Linked DNA regions of Arabidopsis thaliana. The protein of the gene in region 1 interacts with the protein of each later gene in a pairwise test. Each region holds a gene or a part of one and is shown in the gene's direction. Other genes may lie near its edges.

Region 1 (4,689 bases):
ACTGCTCAAGAACACATTACTGGTAATGAAGGCGACGGGAGTTTTATTACCAGGTGATGATATCGGAAGTGACAGTTTCTGGCAACTAACGTGGCTTCACGTTAATAAGATCTCTCCTTCTCTTCAATCTGAAGTTTTCCCTCAAGAGGAGCTTGATCAGTTTCAGAGACGAAACGCGAAGCCTGAGGATCCTCCGGTACCGGGAAATGAGGTCTGAGACGGTTTTGGTGGAATAGAGAAAATTTGTTCTATACAGATGAAAAAGCTTAATCAAGGATATCAATTTTTTTTTTGCAGTATAGCTTTTTTGTTTTTAATATAGGGGGATTATAATACTTTGGAGTCTTGAGCTTTTGTTTTTTTTATGGAATGTTATGTTGAAATTATGGGTTTGATTGGAAATATATTTGGAGGCAATTTGGAAACTGCTGCGTCTATTATACAAAGAACTTGAAAAATTCAATGGTACTGACAAAGAAAAATGGTACTCATCAAAACCAGAAAAGAAAAGTAAATTTTTGGTCCAAATCTCACTATTTTAATAACATTTTTTAAAAACAAAGAATTAAGAACAAAAACAAAATGACCTATAAAATTTTGGACTCTAATTCTTGGCTTGTGTGACTTTATTAACAGTTAAATATTACAAATTTTCAAACTCTTAAAAATTTAAACTTTATAAAACGTTTTAAATATTTATAATTTATAAACTTTATGAAGTTTTAAATATTATAAATATTTGTTATAATTTTGAATGTTATAAATTTATAAACGAAAAGAACTTGAAAAATTCAATGAAAACGAGTAACGACAAAGAAAAATGATAATCATCAAAACCAAATCTCAATATTTTAATAACATTTAAAGTTTTTAAAAAACCCAAAAAATTAACTAGTAGGCCTGGGCATAATACCCGGAACCGAATATCCGAACCGAAAAACCCGAAAAATAACCAAACCGAACCCGAATCCGATTTTTAGAATTACCCGAATGGGTCCTCGACCTTACTACCCGAAAAAACCCGAACCGAACCCGAACCGAATCTAATACCCGTGGGTACCCGAATACGAATGTAACTTAAATATATTAGTTATATATATATATTTGTAATACCTCAAATACCAAAATTAAAATTATAAATCCGATTATACTAGATTTTTTTAGTAATTCATATATATTTGGATATATTTGGGTAAAAGTAACAAATGTTATAGTTTTCTTTTAGATAATTTAAGTATTTTGGTTACATTTGGTTATATTTGTATAAAAAGTAACCAATATATTTACGGGTAATTGGGTATTTCGGGTTGATTTGGGTATATATGAATAAAAAAACCGAATCTAACCCGAACCCAAAAATATTTTGGGTATTTTTGGTTATTTTTACATTTTTACTAAAATAACCGAACCGACCCAAACCCGAACCGAAACCGAACCGAATTTTTAGAATACTCGAATGGTTCTCAACCTCCTACCCGAATAGACCCAATACCCGGAAAAAAAAACGAACCCGAACGGGTACCCGAATGCCCACGCCTCAATTAAGAACAGAAAAAGAAAAAAACTAACTTTCAGTGACCTATAAAAGTTTGGGCCCTAGAAGAGTCTTTTCGCAACACCAAAAATGGCAGATCCGCAAGCCCAACAAGGCAGTGGCATTGCCAAAAGATCTGGACAAAAAAAAGGCCAAGTGGTGTACAAAGCCTAGATGTAGGATATAATTACTCAACCGTCGAACATATTTTCCATAGATCATTCATAGACGTACGCATCATCAAATCAATTCATCGTCGTCTTCCACAATTGTCATCACCGATCGATTTTCCGACTCCGACGTACCTCCTCTTCCCCGTTACCTTCTCAGGTCTCAATCTGGCTTTCTCTATTTTTCGCCTAATTCCTCTTTTTCTGATTGTGATTCTGCTTTCTAATTTTGATCCTAATTTTTTGTGCTTATACTCCGGCTAAACTCTTCCATTTGTTCCGATCACCGGAATTTTCGTCACTTATTCGTCATCCTTTTTCTCTTTTGATCCGTCAATTTTACTTTTCTGTCTTTTTTTTTTCTCCTTTTTCCCCGTGTTGACATTTCTTTCTTCTGTACGTGATCTAGTTATCTTAGGGTTTTGGACTGCTATACAAAACAATCAATTGATTTTAGTTTTATCTTTTGAATCGTTGTAAGAATTTCAATAGCCTAGTCTTGTTGATGGTTTTGGGCTATTGAATCTGTTCTTAAAGTTTCAGCTTAATGTAATCTGTTCTTAATCAGAATTAGGGTTCATCATCATTGTGTGTGTTGCTGATTCTGCAGAGTTTTTAGTAGTCTTCCTTTGGAACAATGAGTGACGTGTTTGATGGATATGAGCGACAATACTGTGAGCTCTCGGCGAGTCTTTCAAAGAAGTGTTCCTCTGCTATTTCGCTTGATGGAGGTAAAATTGTTACTCTAATCTTTTCTAAGATGTGATACTTTTCCTACTCAGGCATTGCCTTACCTTCCTTAAGATTTGAAATAACTAATTCTGGTTTAGCTTATGAATGTAACAATGTACGAATTAGAGATATCTTGGTTTGTGTTTTTGATGCAGAGTATTGTGCGATTTAGATCCTTTAATTACTACTTCGTTGTAAGGACATAGTATTGGTTTCTGATTACGAAGAGAGCTTGTGATTAGTATTGGTCGCTGATCATCGCCATTTTTTTACACTGGGGATACTTCGGTTTTTGTTTGTTACTGAGAACGATTCTATAGATAGTTTGGTTTGTGTTTGATGACTATAAACTTCTTGTCTCCTTCATGTGTTGCTAGGACATAGTAGTGTGCCTTTCTTTTGCTTTCTTTGGAGATTGTGATTAGTAGTGTTCGCTGATCATCGGGATTGTTTTTTTTCCCCTAGATGAGTATGCTCTGTTGATTGCATAGATAAAAATGCATTGATGATACCTTATTAATTTGCAGAACAAAAGAAGCAGAAGTTGTCTGAAATAAAATCCGGGCTGGAAAATGCAGAAGTATTGGTATGTGATATGCGTAACGTGAAGTTATAGAAGCTTCTCTATTGTCCATTATTCATTTTGATGCTTCTCTGTCCTTTTCTTCACCAGATTAGGAAAATGGATCTCGAGGCAAGGACCCTTCCACCTAATCTTAAGTCCAGCCTCCTTGTCAAATTAAGAGAATTCAAGTCTGATCTGAACAATTTCAAAACTGAAGTGAAGAGAATCACATCTGGACAGTTGAACGCTGCTGCTCGTGATGAGTTGCTAGAAGCTGGTATGGCTGACACAAAGACGGTATGTAAAGGACTCGGTAGTATTGTTTCAATTTTATCTCATCTCATATCTTTGCTATTAAAACGACCTATGATTTTCTTTTTTTATTGAAACGCTGAGATCAGGCTTCAGCTGATCAGAGAGCAAGATTGATGATGTCAACTGAGCGTCTGGGCCGAACCACTGACAGAGTCAAGGACAGTCGTAGAACAATGATGGAGACTGAAGAAATCGGTGTTTCAATCCTCCAAGACTTGCACGGTCAGAGACAGTCTCTCTTACGTGCCCACGAAACGGTATTGTCTCTCTGCAACACATTTACTCCATATTCTCAACGATATTCTGAACAAAGTGACAAAATAAGATGAGAATTAAGGGCTATATCATAAAGAAGACTATGTTTTCTTGTTTTCTTTATCAACGCTGGATTGATATCGCGCTAACCAAAATTTAGAACTCTGTTGACAGCTTCATGGAGTAGACGATAACATTGGAAAGAGCAAGAAGATCTTGACAGACATGACGAGGAGGATGAACAAGAACAAATGGACCATTGGAGCCATCATCATCGCATTGATTGCCGCCATTTTCATCATCTTGTACTTCAAACTCACCAAGTAAGCCTCTGTAACTAAATCCGACCAAATCAAAGAACAACGGTTGTTTTCGTTTTGTGAGTCTTTGATTTATCCTGTTTCTTCTTTTTGTGTGAAAAGTTGTTTTGCCACCTTTGTATTCTAAATTTGACCATACATACTTTAAGCAAGTAAAGCTTCGGCCTAAGTGTCACGTATATTGTTTATATTGTTCATATCAAATCCAGAACTATACATGGTTAAACATTGAGATTAAAAGCCTCAATTATTTCAAACAATCGAGGTCTACATCTCGCACAATTGTTCATATATTGGATCTAGAACTATACATGATCAAACATTGATATCAATTACTAGTGTTTTTTTCTTTCATATTTGAATTTGCTATAATCAGCGACCAAGCTCTCAATAACCCTATGCTTCATGTTATCCACCAAACCGGCCAAAATCTGTAAAGGGCCAATCAAAAACATAAATCATGTATAAACCCGGAACACAGCATTTTGAGTCTCCAATCGCATATATGAAACAAGACAGTTTCTTACCGCATTGGCCATGTTTCTCCTAACATCTTCTGGTACAAGCGCGAGAACTGAAGGAAGCACGAAGCTAATGGTCGTTTCTAGTCGACCTTTGAGCCTCGTGTGCCTTCCACGCCGGTCTGGGTATAATGCTCCTTTTACTCCAAGAGTGAAATCAGTTGGTTCCATTACTCGGTCAAGCCCTTGAAGCTCCCATTTCGTCTGAAAATCGTAATTCAAATGTTAAATCAATAAAAATTCTGACTAGTGAATTTGTGATTCATGTGGTGGTACA
Region 2 (4,699 bases), about 10 Mb from region 1:
TACTGCTAGTTAGAAAAAGAAAACAAAAACAAAGCTCAGAGTCAGTAAGTTTAAGAGAACTGTATCTAAATTTGCTGAGAAAAAGCTTCGGAAGTTAATTGATCAAAAAAAGCTTTAAATGTCAAAATTTTGAAATCAAAGAACAAGGAAACAATATCACTAACCTTTGGATATCGATGCTTTCAACTTCACCAGAGAAAGAGAAAAACTCTTTAATATCATGCTCAGTTGCTCCTGAAGAGAGATTGCCAACTTTTACTGACCTTACCTGTGACTGTCATCATAAAGAATCAAAAGGGAAAGAATCATTAACGAAAACAATAAACAGGTGTTTCATGAGAATGTTTACAGTACAACTACTTTTTGTATCCAAGCATATCTAATCGACCGAAAGTCCCATTTTAATCAAATCAGCTCAAACTCAAAGAAGCCTAGATTTATCACAAGATTATACAATTATGCAAGTAAAGGGATAATATTATAGTGGCTTAGAAGATGACTGTCATCATCTCACTATACAAAAAGAAAACTCGAATGAACCATGAAGGCTACCAATTAAGGAAACTAATCGACAATGTATGGAGGAATCTAAAAGTAAATTGGCTAGCGAGATTCGGTTCCAAATTGAGAATAACACAATCGCGATTTACTACGATAAACGAAAACCAAAACCGAGAAATCAAGGAGATAATAGAGATAATTGCACGAATACAGATCACACAGAGATACAGAATCAATTAATAACGACAATAATAATCATCAAACTCGTCCAAATAGCATTGGAGATATTATGTCGGCAAGTGCAGCAATCAAACAACAGATCATCCAAATTGAAGAAGAAATCAAATCAATAGCCAAAAATATCAATCCTGAGAAAATTTCCCGATAAACAAATGGATCGCAACAATATCTACCAGCAGAGGAAACCTAAACCTTTTCCGCATAAAACAAAATTATACACAAAAAAAAAGTAGAGCATACCGCCATGGATGTTGATCTTCGAAGTCGCGCAGAGAGAGAGATATGTAATTTGTTGCTTTTGTCACGCAGATTCAGAGATTGGCCTGAAAACCGAAACGTACTTCGAGATCGATGATGCGTAGATAGATAGAGAGGGAAGAGTGTATTTTGCTTTATATGACACCTCACACTCAACGTGTGGGTTTGCGTTACGCCCTTTAATCCTATTTTAGTCCCTAATTGTTTCCAACAATTAATATTTTCACTTTTTTAGTATATATTTCTATTTTTTCCCTCTTCAGTTCAAAACAAAAGTTAGGAGTTTCGTAACACAATTATTAAGTTTATGTTTTATTAGAAAAAAATACATAAAAATTTTACTTTTTATCAACAAAAATATATCATTGTTTTTCTATAAAAAGTGGTTTATGTATCAAAGTGATTACTGTAATTATTAATTCAGTCATAAAATATGATAACTTGGTAATTACAAAAAAGTTGGACTTCTCCTTGTTTTTGGCCCAACTCTTCTCTTTTCCTTTTACTAAACTCCAATGTAGCCCAAAATCATTTAACCAATCCTTATCCTGCAAACCCACTCAATTGGTCCGGTTTACTCGAACCGAGTTTCAATTTTACACGGAAGGGCAGGTGAGGTCAACAACGACACGCAGGATTCTTCCCTCGCAATGGCGTGTCACCGCCAAATAATTTATACGTATTAATAAATTCCCTCCACCACCATATTCACGCGGACCACATGAGATTAAATGATTTATACAAATTATAAAACAAAAATTAACATTAAATTTTGGGAAAACTTATAATTCACCTAACTCATTTCCATCATCTTCGTCTTCGTTTGTTCCCCTGAGATAGAGATAAGAGAATTTCGAGAGATTCGAGAGAAGAGACGATGAGTTTCCAAGATCTCGAAGCTGGTACTCGATCTCCGGCGCCGAATCGTTTTACCGGTGGGAGACAACAGAGACCTTCGTCTCGTGGGGATCCATCTCAGGAGGTCGCCGCCGGGATTTTCAGGATCAGCACGGCTGTCAATTCCTTCTTCCGCCTCGTTAATTCGATCGGAACACCTAAAGATACTCTTGAATTACGAGATAAGCTGTCAGTAGCAATTCTTAATCACACTCTTCTTCTCTTTGTTAAATCTCTGTTGATTAGGGTTTTGGTTTTACTTATTGATTTTGGTCGATTTCATTTCAATTTTTAATTGAAAAAGTTTTCTAATTGTTTTGAAGCTAATCCTGCATTATTTTCCCTTAACCGAAGAACAAATTTGAGTTTGCTGATCGATGTGAGACAACATTGCAAATAATGCCTGACAACATTGCAAATAATGAGCTTTTTGTGTGTGTGTGTGTGTGTGTGTGTATTGAGAAATTGTTTTTTTTTTAGATTGGTTTCATCTATTTGTTCTGTGAATTGTTTTAAAGTGTTAGGTTCTTTTGTTGGCAGGCAAAAGACAAGGTTACAGATATCCGAATTGGTGAAGAATACTTCAGCTAAACTTAAGGAAGCTAGCGAAGCCGACCTTCATGGATCAGCTAGTGTAAGCAAATGCTTACTTTTTTGTTTCATTCCCTTACGATGCTATGGAATGTTAGTGTCTAAGAGAACATTTTCTATTGAACCAGTTTTATTTTGGTTTAATTTTGTCAGAATCGTACCATTTTATTCATTTAGTGGGAGAATTGTTTACATGATTGATGATATGTGTATTCTAGTTTTGATGTTATGTTTGTATTCTTGCAGCAAATTAAGAAGATAGCTGATGCTAAACTGGCAAAAGATTTCCAATCAGTTCTCAAAGAGTTTCAGAAAGCTCAGAGACTTGCAGCTGAAAGAGAAATAACATATACTCCTGTGGTCACAAAAGAAATACCTACCAGGTAACCACTTTGACCAGTTATGTTTCAATACCTGTTAAAAAACAGAAGATCATGGTAAATGAATCTCGTTGTTTCCTAAATGAGAAGAAAAAAAGTCTCCGGATTATATACTCGCATGTTATTATTGTTGTTTTGTACAAAAGAATTTTTGAACGTAGGATTGTTCTGATATTTTGTGGAATGTGAGTTTCACTTACACATGCTTCATTGTCATGCCACACCATGCAGTTATAATGCACCTGAACTGGATACTGAATCTTTAAGGATCTCCCAGCAGCAAGCTCTTCTTCTACAATCAAGAAGGTGAGGAGTGTGATTTGATTATATGCTAGCATGTTATTTTACTAATTCATTTGATCAATTATAAGCATAAACCAAATGTTAGTCTAGCATGCATTTTGCTCTCGAGAGTTCAAATTCAAACCATCGTTACACTTGGCACTCACTGTAGCCTGAATTGTTAATAGAAGCCTTAGAATAGGTTAATAAATTTTTCGAAGTTGGTTATGTCCCTGGATGCAGGGAGATGCTTGCTATTCGCTAACTTTTTATATTCTCATTCCAGGCAAGAAGTGGTGTTTTTAGATAACGAGATAACATTCAATGAAGCAATTATTGAGGAAAGAGAGCAAGGGATTCGAGAAATTGAAGACCAGATTCGTGATGTGAATGGCATGTTCAAAGATCTAGCTCTTATGGTGAACCATCAAGGAAATATTGTCGGTAAGTAACTCCAAACAATCAGAAATTGTAAATCTCCCTGTTCGTTTTCTCTTTGCCTTTTTAAAGTCTCAGAAAAAAACTATAATGTGCACTGGCAGATGACATCAGCTCTAACCTTGACAACTCACATGCTGCAACTACACAAGCCACTGTTCAACTCAGAAAAGCAGCTAAAACTCAAAGATCAAACTCCTCTTTGGTACGGACTAAACAGACTCTCTTCTCATTTTCAGTTCTGTGATTTCATATTCTTAGCAGCTTAAGCTAAGTTTGTTGTCTTTTACTTTGTTGCAGACATGCCTACTTATTCTCATTTTTGGGATTGTTCTACTCATTGTCATCATCGTTGTCTTGGTCTAAGCATCAAACATATAACTCCAAGCTTCAATCTTCAAGCATCAAGCGAATCTATGGAAACTATACAAAGACCCATTAAAGATATATATCTAATGTACAGATTCTTTATACTCCATCTTCCCCATTCAACCAAATTGATCTTAACTTCTCATCGTGTGAATGTTTAATCAATGTATTACTCCATCATAAGGATCTTCATGATCAAAAGAAATAAACATAAGAAAATAATCTTGATTTTTTGGTCATTAACCGGTCAGTGACCAACAGATTACCGTACTAGTGAGATGATAATTGAACAAGATGAACGTTTTCACACAAAAGTATAATATAAACAACACAAAAACCGATCTCTACTAACTATTCACAAGCTTGGTGGTAAATCTTTTATGTTTCTTCTCTCTGTTTTTTTTTCATTTAAGTAAAAATGTAAAGGGTATACACACCATCTGATATATTCCTCGTTCCTTCATATCTCCTTTTGCAACCTCCCCTGAAAATCTACATTGTGAGAGACAATTGATAACTCTCAAGATATACAACAATGCAGAGAAACATGTTTGAACTTAACGATGTTCTTACCTTTATTTCCTCTGTGCTTCTGAGGAAAGCAGTCCCATTTGTTCAGTAAGATACTTCATTTGTTGTTCATTACGGGTCCACTCGTTTGGTTCTTGTTCCAATACCAAGTCATTATTCTCCACTGATCCTGATAGAATATCGTCTGTATCTGCAATCGCTGGGAGTTCAAC
Region 3 (4,308 bases), 3.2 Mb from region 1:
AACAATGTTCAGACTGACATGAATTTGAAAACAGAGAGCACAAAAGTGTTAAACCCCTTACTCCTAAAGTTAACGAATTGGTTAAGTTCTGATTAACTTAAAAGTTATACATATAAGAAGCTGTGTCCAAAAATAAATTCACAAAGTTTTAACTAATTAGATAAATACTAATCACATTTATCAAACAAGTAATCCATAAGAAGGTAAAACCCAAAATTAGTGATTCTAAACGCCAATTTCAACATATCTAATCGCAGCTGGTGATCGAAATTCTACAAATACGAGACGAGAACGATTAATCGGATATGAAGGAGTACTCACCGACATTGCTAAAAACCGATATAAACCGGATTGAAACGGAAGATTTTCTGAATTTGAAACGAAAACAGAAGAGAAAATGAAAATCCTAGTAAGGAAAAATCTTTGGCTGTGAGGAAAATACAAAGCGGATTCAATTTAAATACAATTCTCCGGTACGTGTAACCGTCGGGATTATGTTTTTTTTTTTTTGTCTCGCCGGCGACTTCAAGGAAGAAAAAGGTCGTGCTTAGCTATTTCTTTGTCGGGAAAGATTCTAATTAAATTTTAATCATATAGTACTTACGTTTAAAACAAAACAAAAGACGTGACATAATCACATTATCAACCACTATCTGTCGTCCACGTGTCCAAAACCGTTTCTGCTTTTCACATGTAGTAAAGTTTAATAACCTCATCATTGGAAATCTTGCGAAAAAAATGCTGATAAAGTAATTACATTAACACTTTCCATTAGGGCTGGGCAAAATATTCGATCGATCCGCTTCGATTCGGTATTCGATTTGATTTGATTCGAAAAATCCGAATTTCCGTAAGATTTTGGACCAAAGCAAATAGGAAAATGTAGTATTCGTAAAAACCGAATCAAATAGCAAATATTGTTTTTTAAAAAATCAAATATCCGCTTCGATCCGTATCTTTTGATATATATTAGAATATATAGTTATATCTATATATAGATATCATAAATAGTTTGTGTATTGTTGCTACCTTATGTTTTTATGTTAAGATGTTTGTTTGATATTTTTTTTTATGTTATGTTTTGATCAATGACATCAAAAACTATCGAGTTTTAGTTTTTGGAATTAGTTTGATAACATTTTTGTTGACCGGTGATAACAACAAAGGTTATATTTGGTATTTAGAACTTATTTTGAAAGCATGTTAAATAAAAACTTTGAATATCTGATATGGTTATATAGTTTATATATTTTTTTAAAATATTTATACGTATCAAAGCGGATATCCGCAAATATCACAAAAAAATCCGGATATTCGAAATTCCGGATATCCGGAAAGTTTCGAATCAAAGCAAATCATAAAATCAAGTATTCGGTTAAAACGAATCGAATAACAAATATCACAATTTTTCCGAATATTCGCTTCGTGCCCAGACCTACTTTTCATTATTAAACTTTCACCTAAAATAGTTAAACTAAGGGCACCGAACCAAATTGAACTGTTTAAACCGTAGTGGAATCTTATATAAACTGATTTGATTGTATCTGAACTAAACCAAACCAAATAAATGTTTTATTAAAACTTTACATTTTAACTATTTACACATATTGAGAAAAAATATAATCATATTAATATATAAACTAACTAAAAATTATTGTTTATTAACTAAAACTGAATCAAATCAAAAATAAAAACAAACTGACCCAAACCAAAATCTCAATAAACCAAACCAATTGTTTAATTTGGCAAGAAAAACAGAAACGAGGAGAGGTTACTAAATATATAGAAATAAAAGGATCAAAAAGGAAACAACTTTATCTCAGCTTTTTCTTCTCAATTAAAATCAGTTTGGGATTTTTTCGAAAACGCTTTTCAATCTTCGTCTATCTGTCTCCACGATCCACGCCTTGACCTTCGTTTTTTTTTTCTCAGAGATTAGAGAAAACTCCGATAACCAATTTCTCAATCTTTTTGTAGATCCAATTTTTCCAGGAAAAAAAGAGGTTTCGCGAAGAAGATGAGTTTTCAAGATTTAGAATCAGGAAGAGGAAGATCAACGAGGAAATTCAATGGTGGTCGACAAGATTCGACACAAGCCGTTGCTTCTGGAATATTCCAGATCAATACCGGAGTCTCCACGTTTCAGCGACTCGTTAACACACTTGGTACTCCCAAAGATACACCGGAGCTCCGGGAGAAGCTGTATGTTGAAATTGAAATCTAAATTTCATTTGATAAAAAAAATTGAATTTTTGATTTCAATTTTGATTGCTTTTTTTTTTTTGTGGATTCTGAATTTAGAAATTATTATTCGGATTTTGTTGTGATAGGCACAAGACAAGGTTGCATATTGGACAGCTTGTGAAGGATACTTCAGCTAAACTTAAAGAAGCTAGTGAAACTGATCATCAAAGCGGTGTCAATGTAAAGTGGAATCTTTTTCTTCTTGTTTGGTTTTTAAGCGACTCTTTGTTGTGTGTTTGATTGTTGTGTAATTGTGTAGCCAAGTAAGAAGATTGCAGATGCTAAGCTTGCAAGGGACTTTCAAGCTGTTTTAAAAGAGTTTCAGAAAGCTCAACAAACTGCTGCTGAAAGAGAAACCACTTATACTCCTTTCGTGCCTCAATCTGCTCTTCCCTCTAGGTAACGTGACTGATTGATTATATGTGGTTTCATGTATGTTAAGCTCGAATTCGAATTAGAAGTGTGATTATCATAAGCAAAAAGCATCACTTTGTGAATTGTTTGTGTGGTTTTGATAATCATGTTCCTTATTTTTCTTGTCTGACTCCGTATATAGCTATACGGCGGGTGAGGTGGATAAGGTACCGGAACAGCGGGCACAACTTCAGGAGTCGAAAAGGTAGGTGATATCGAAAAAATATTCTTTTACACATCTCTTATATGATGCAACTTATTTTCTCCTTTGCTTGATTGTTGATGCAACTTATTTTCTCCTTTGCTTGATTGTTGTAGACAAGAACTTGTATTGTTAGACAACGAGATTGCATTCAACGAGGCTGTGATTGAAGAAAGAGAGCAAGGAATACAAGAAATCCATCAGCAAATTGGTGAGGTTAACGAGATATTCAAAGATCTTGCGGTTCTGGTTAACGATCAAGGAGTCATGATAGGTAAAGACAATCTATTAAACTTAATTAGAACATGCCCTTGAAGCTGCAGTTAGAGAACTCACTTTTTTCTTTCTTGCAGATGATATTGGTACTCACATTGACAACTCCCGTGCTGCAACTTCACAAGGAAAATCTCAGCTTGTGCAAGCCGCGAAAACACAAAAATCAAACTCCTCTCTGGTAAAACACTCAAAAAAGTTTTCAGACAAAAACAGTGACTGAATGTTTTTTGGAAACCTTAGGCTAATGTGTTGATCTTGTTTACACGCAGACATGCTTGCTCTTGGTGATATTTGGCATTGTTCTCCTGATCGTGATTATAGTACTCGCAGCTTGATTTCGAACAGCAAGAACATTTCGTTTGTGTGTGTTCATTGATCTTAAGGCATCAATGACTGGAACTACTTGGTATATATTATATGTTGAAGAGAACACTTAGAAGTTGGTTTTGTGTTTGTTTGGGTTGGTTCAGTTCGGTTTGAGGTTCTATTGGTTAATGTAATAGTGTGTGCGTGTGTGGCTTTTTTGTTGTGCAAACATTTTGTTGGAGATGACAGAAACTCTGTTTTGTTTGTGATTCTCCTATGTTCTCCTAAATCTTTGTTGAGAGGAAACAAAAACTATTTGCTCAATGAGTGTCACAAAGAAGTTTGAAACCAAAAGCAGAGTCATGACTGCTTCAAGTTTTTACAAGATTCACCCTTTGAGCTCAAAACCGATGCCACGAGTATTGAAAATGCAGAAAAAACCGCAGCGGCGAATGTCAAGGCGGAAACATACTCTGTATGACCCCTGATTCCGGCAGGGATATCCCAGAAAACAGACCTGGTTTCAGTCTTCGATCTGCCAATCGACAAAACCAAACATCTCCTCCGTTCACGTCGCTGGTTTTGTACATGGCTCGAGCACAAGAACAAGTCTGGCTCGCCAAACTCCACTCTAGAGTATCCACTGTCGTCCAGAGGCTGTGGAGATAACAGAGAAGTAAAGATCCAATCTTATTGACATCGACCAAAATAAGACTTAGTTCAAGTGATCATTTACCTGATACCGAGCATGTAAAGGAAGCTTAAAGCTTATTTCACCATTTTCATAATTTCTAGAGCTGATTTCAACATGAATCTCAACGACGGATCTGTTCGATCTAAACGAAGGCAGCTCAAGATTTGTGTCA

What was found. Proteins that work in one complex are often made in the same cells at the same time.
Region 2: the proteins of SGR4 (region 1) and SYP21 interact in binary tests that used the Arabidopsis thaliana proteins (3 or more experiments, as listed by UniProt).
Region 3: the proteins of SGR4 (region 1) and VAM3 interact in binary tests that used the Arabidopsis thaliana proteins (3 or more experiments, as listed by UniProt).

What each region holds. Positions count from the first base shown.
Region 1 is NC_003076.8:15,819,694-15,824,382, forward strand, and holds SGR4 (Vesicle transport v-SNARE family protein), read left to right. Parts: upstream 1-1,599; 5' UTR 1,600-1,864; intron 1,865-2,314; 5' UTR 2,315-2,341; coding exon 2,342-2,435; intron 2,436-2,525; exon of another isoform or gene 2,526-2,744; intron 2,745-2,963; coding exon 2,964-3,022; intron 3,023-3,109; coding exon 3,110-3,298; intron 3,299-3,402; coding exon 3,403-3,573; intron 3,574-3,745; coding exon 3,746-3,898; 3' UTR 3,899-4,147; downstream 4,148-4,689. Other genes in the region: GNL1 (GNOM-like 1), read left to right, coding at 1-217; AT5G39520 (hypothetical protein (DUF1997)), read right to left, coding at 4,227-4,322, 4,419-4,616. UniProt on the Arabidopsis thaliana protein: Functions as a v-SNARE responsible for targeting AtELP-containing vesicles from the trans-Golgi network (TGN) to the prevacuolar compartment (PVC) and mediates liposome fusion. May be also involved in retrograde traffic to the cis-Golgi.
Region 2 is NC_003076.8:5,532,330-5,537,028, reverse strand, and holds SYP21 (syntaxin of plants 21), read left to right. Parts: upstream 1-1,733; 5' UTR 1,734-1,876; coding exon 1,877-2,085; exon of another isoform or gene 2,086-2,436; coding exon 2,437-2,530; intron 2,531-2,733; coding exon 2,734-2,870; intron 2,871-3,098; coding exon 3,099-3,173; intron 3,174-3,435; coding exon 3,436-3,593; intron 3,594-3,691; coding exon 3,692-3,792; intron 3,793-3,887; coding exon 3,888-3,953; 3' UTR 3,954-4,183; downstream 4,184-4,699. Other genes in the region: BPA1 (binding partner of acd11 1), read right to left, coding at 1-5, 165-274, 982-987; HSF3 (heat shock factor 3), read right to left, coding at 4,532-4,699. UniProt on the Arabidopsis thaliana protein: May function in the docking or fusion of transport vesicles with the prevacuolar membrane.
Region 3 is NC_003076.8:19,011,505-19,015,812, reverse strand, and holds VAM3 (Syntaxin/t-SNARE family protein), read left to right. Parts: upstream 1-1,702; 5' UTR 1,703-2,017; coding exon 2,018-2,202; intron 2,203-2,330; coding exon 2,331-2,424; intron 2,425-2,503; coding exon 2,504-2,643; intron 2,644-2,800; coding exon 2,801-2,863; intron 2,864-2,976; coding exon 2,977-3,134; intron 3,135-3,213; coding exon 3,214-3,314; intron 3,315-3,405; coding exon 3,406-3,471; 3' UTR 3,472-3,792; downstream 3,793-4,308. Other genes in the region: AT5G46870 (RNA-binding (RRM/RBD/RNP motifs) family protein), read right to left, coding at 322-327; AT5G46850 (phosphatidylinositol-glycan biosynthesis class X-like protein), read right to left, coding at 3,803-4,099, 4,179-4,308. UniProt on the Arabidopsis thaliana protein: May provide the t-SNARE function in the vacuolar assembly. Promotes the formation of vacuolar membrane 'bulbs'. Required for inflorescence stem gravitropism.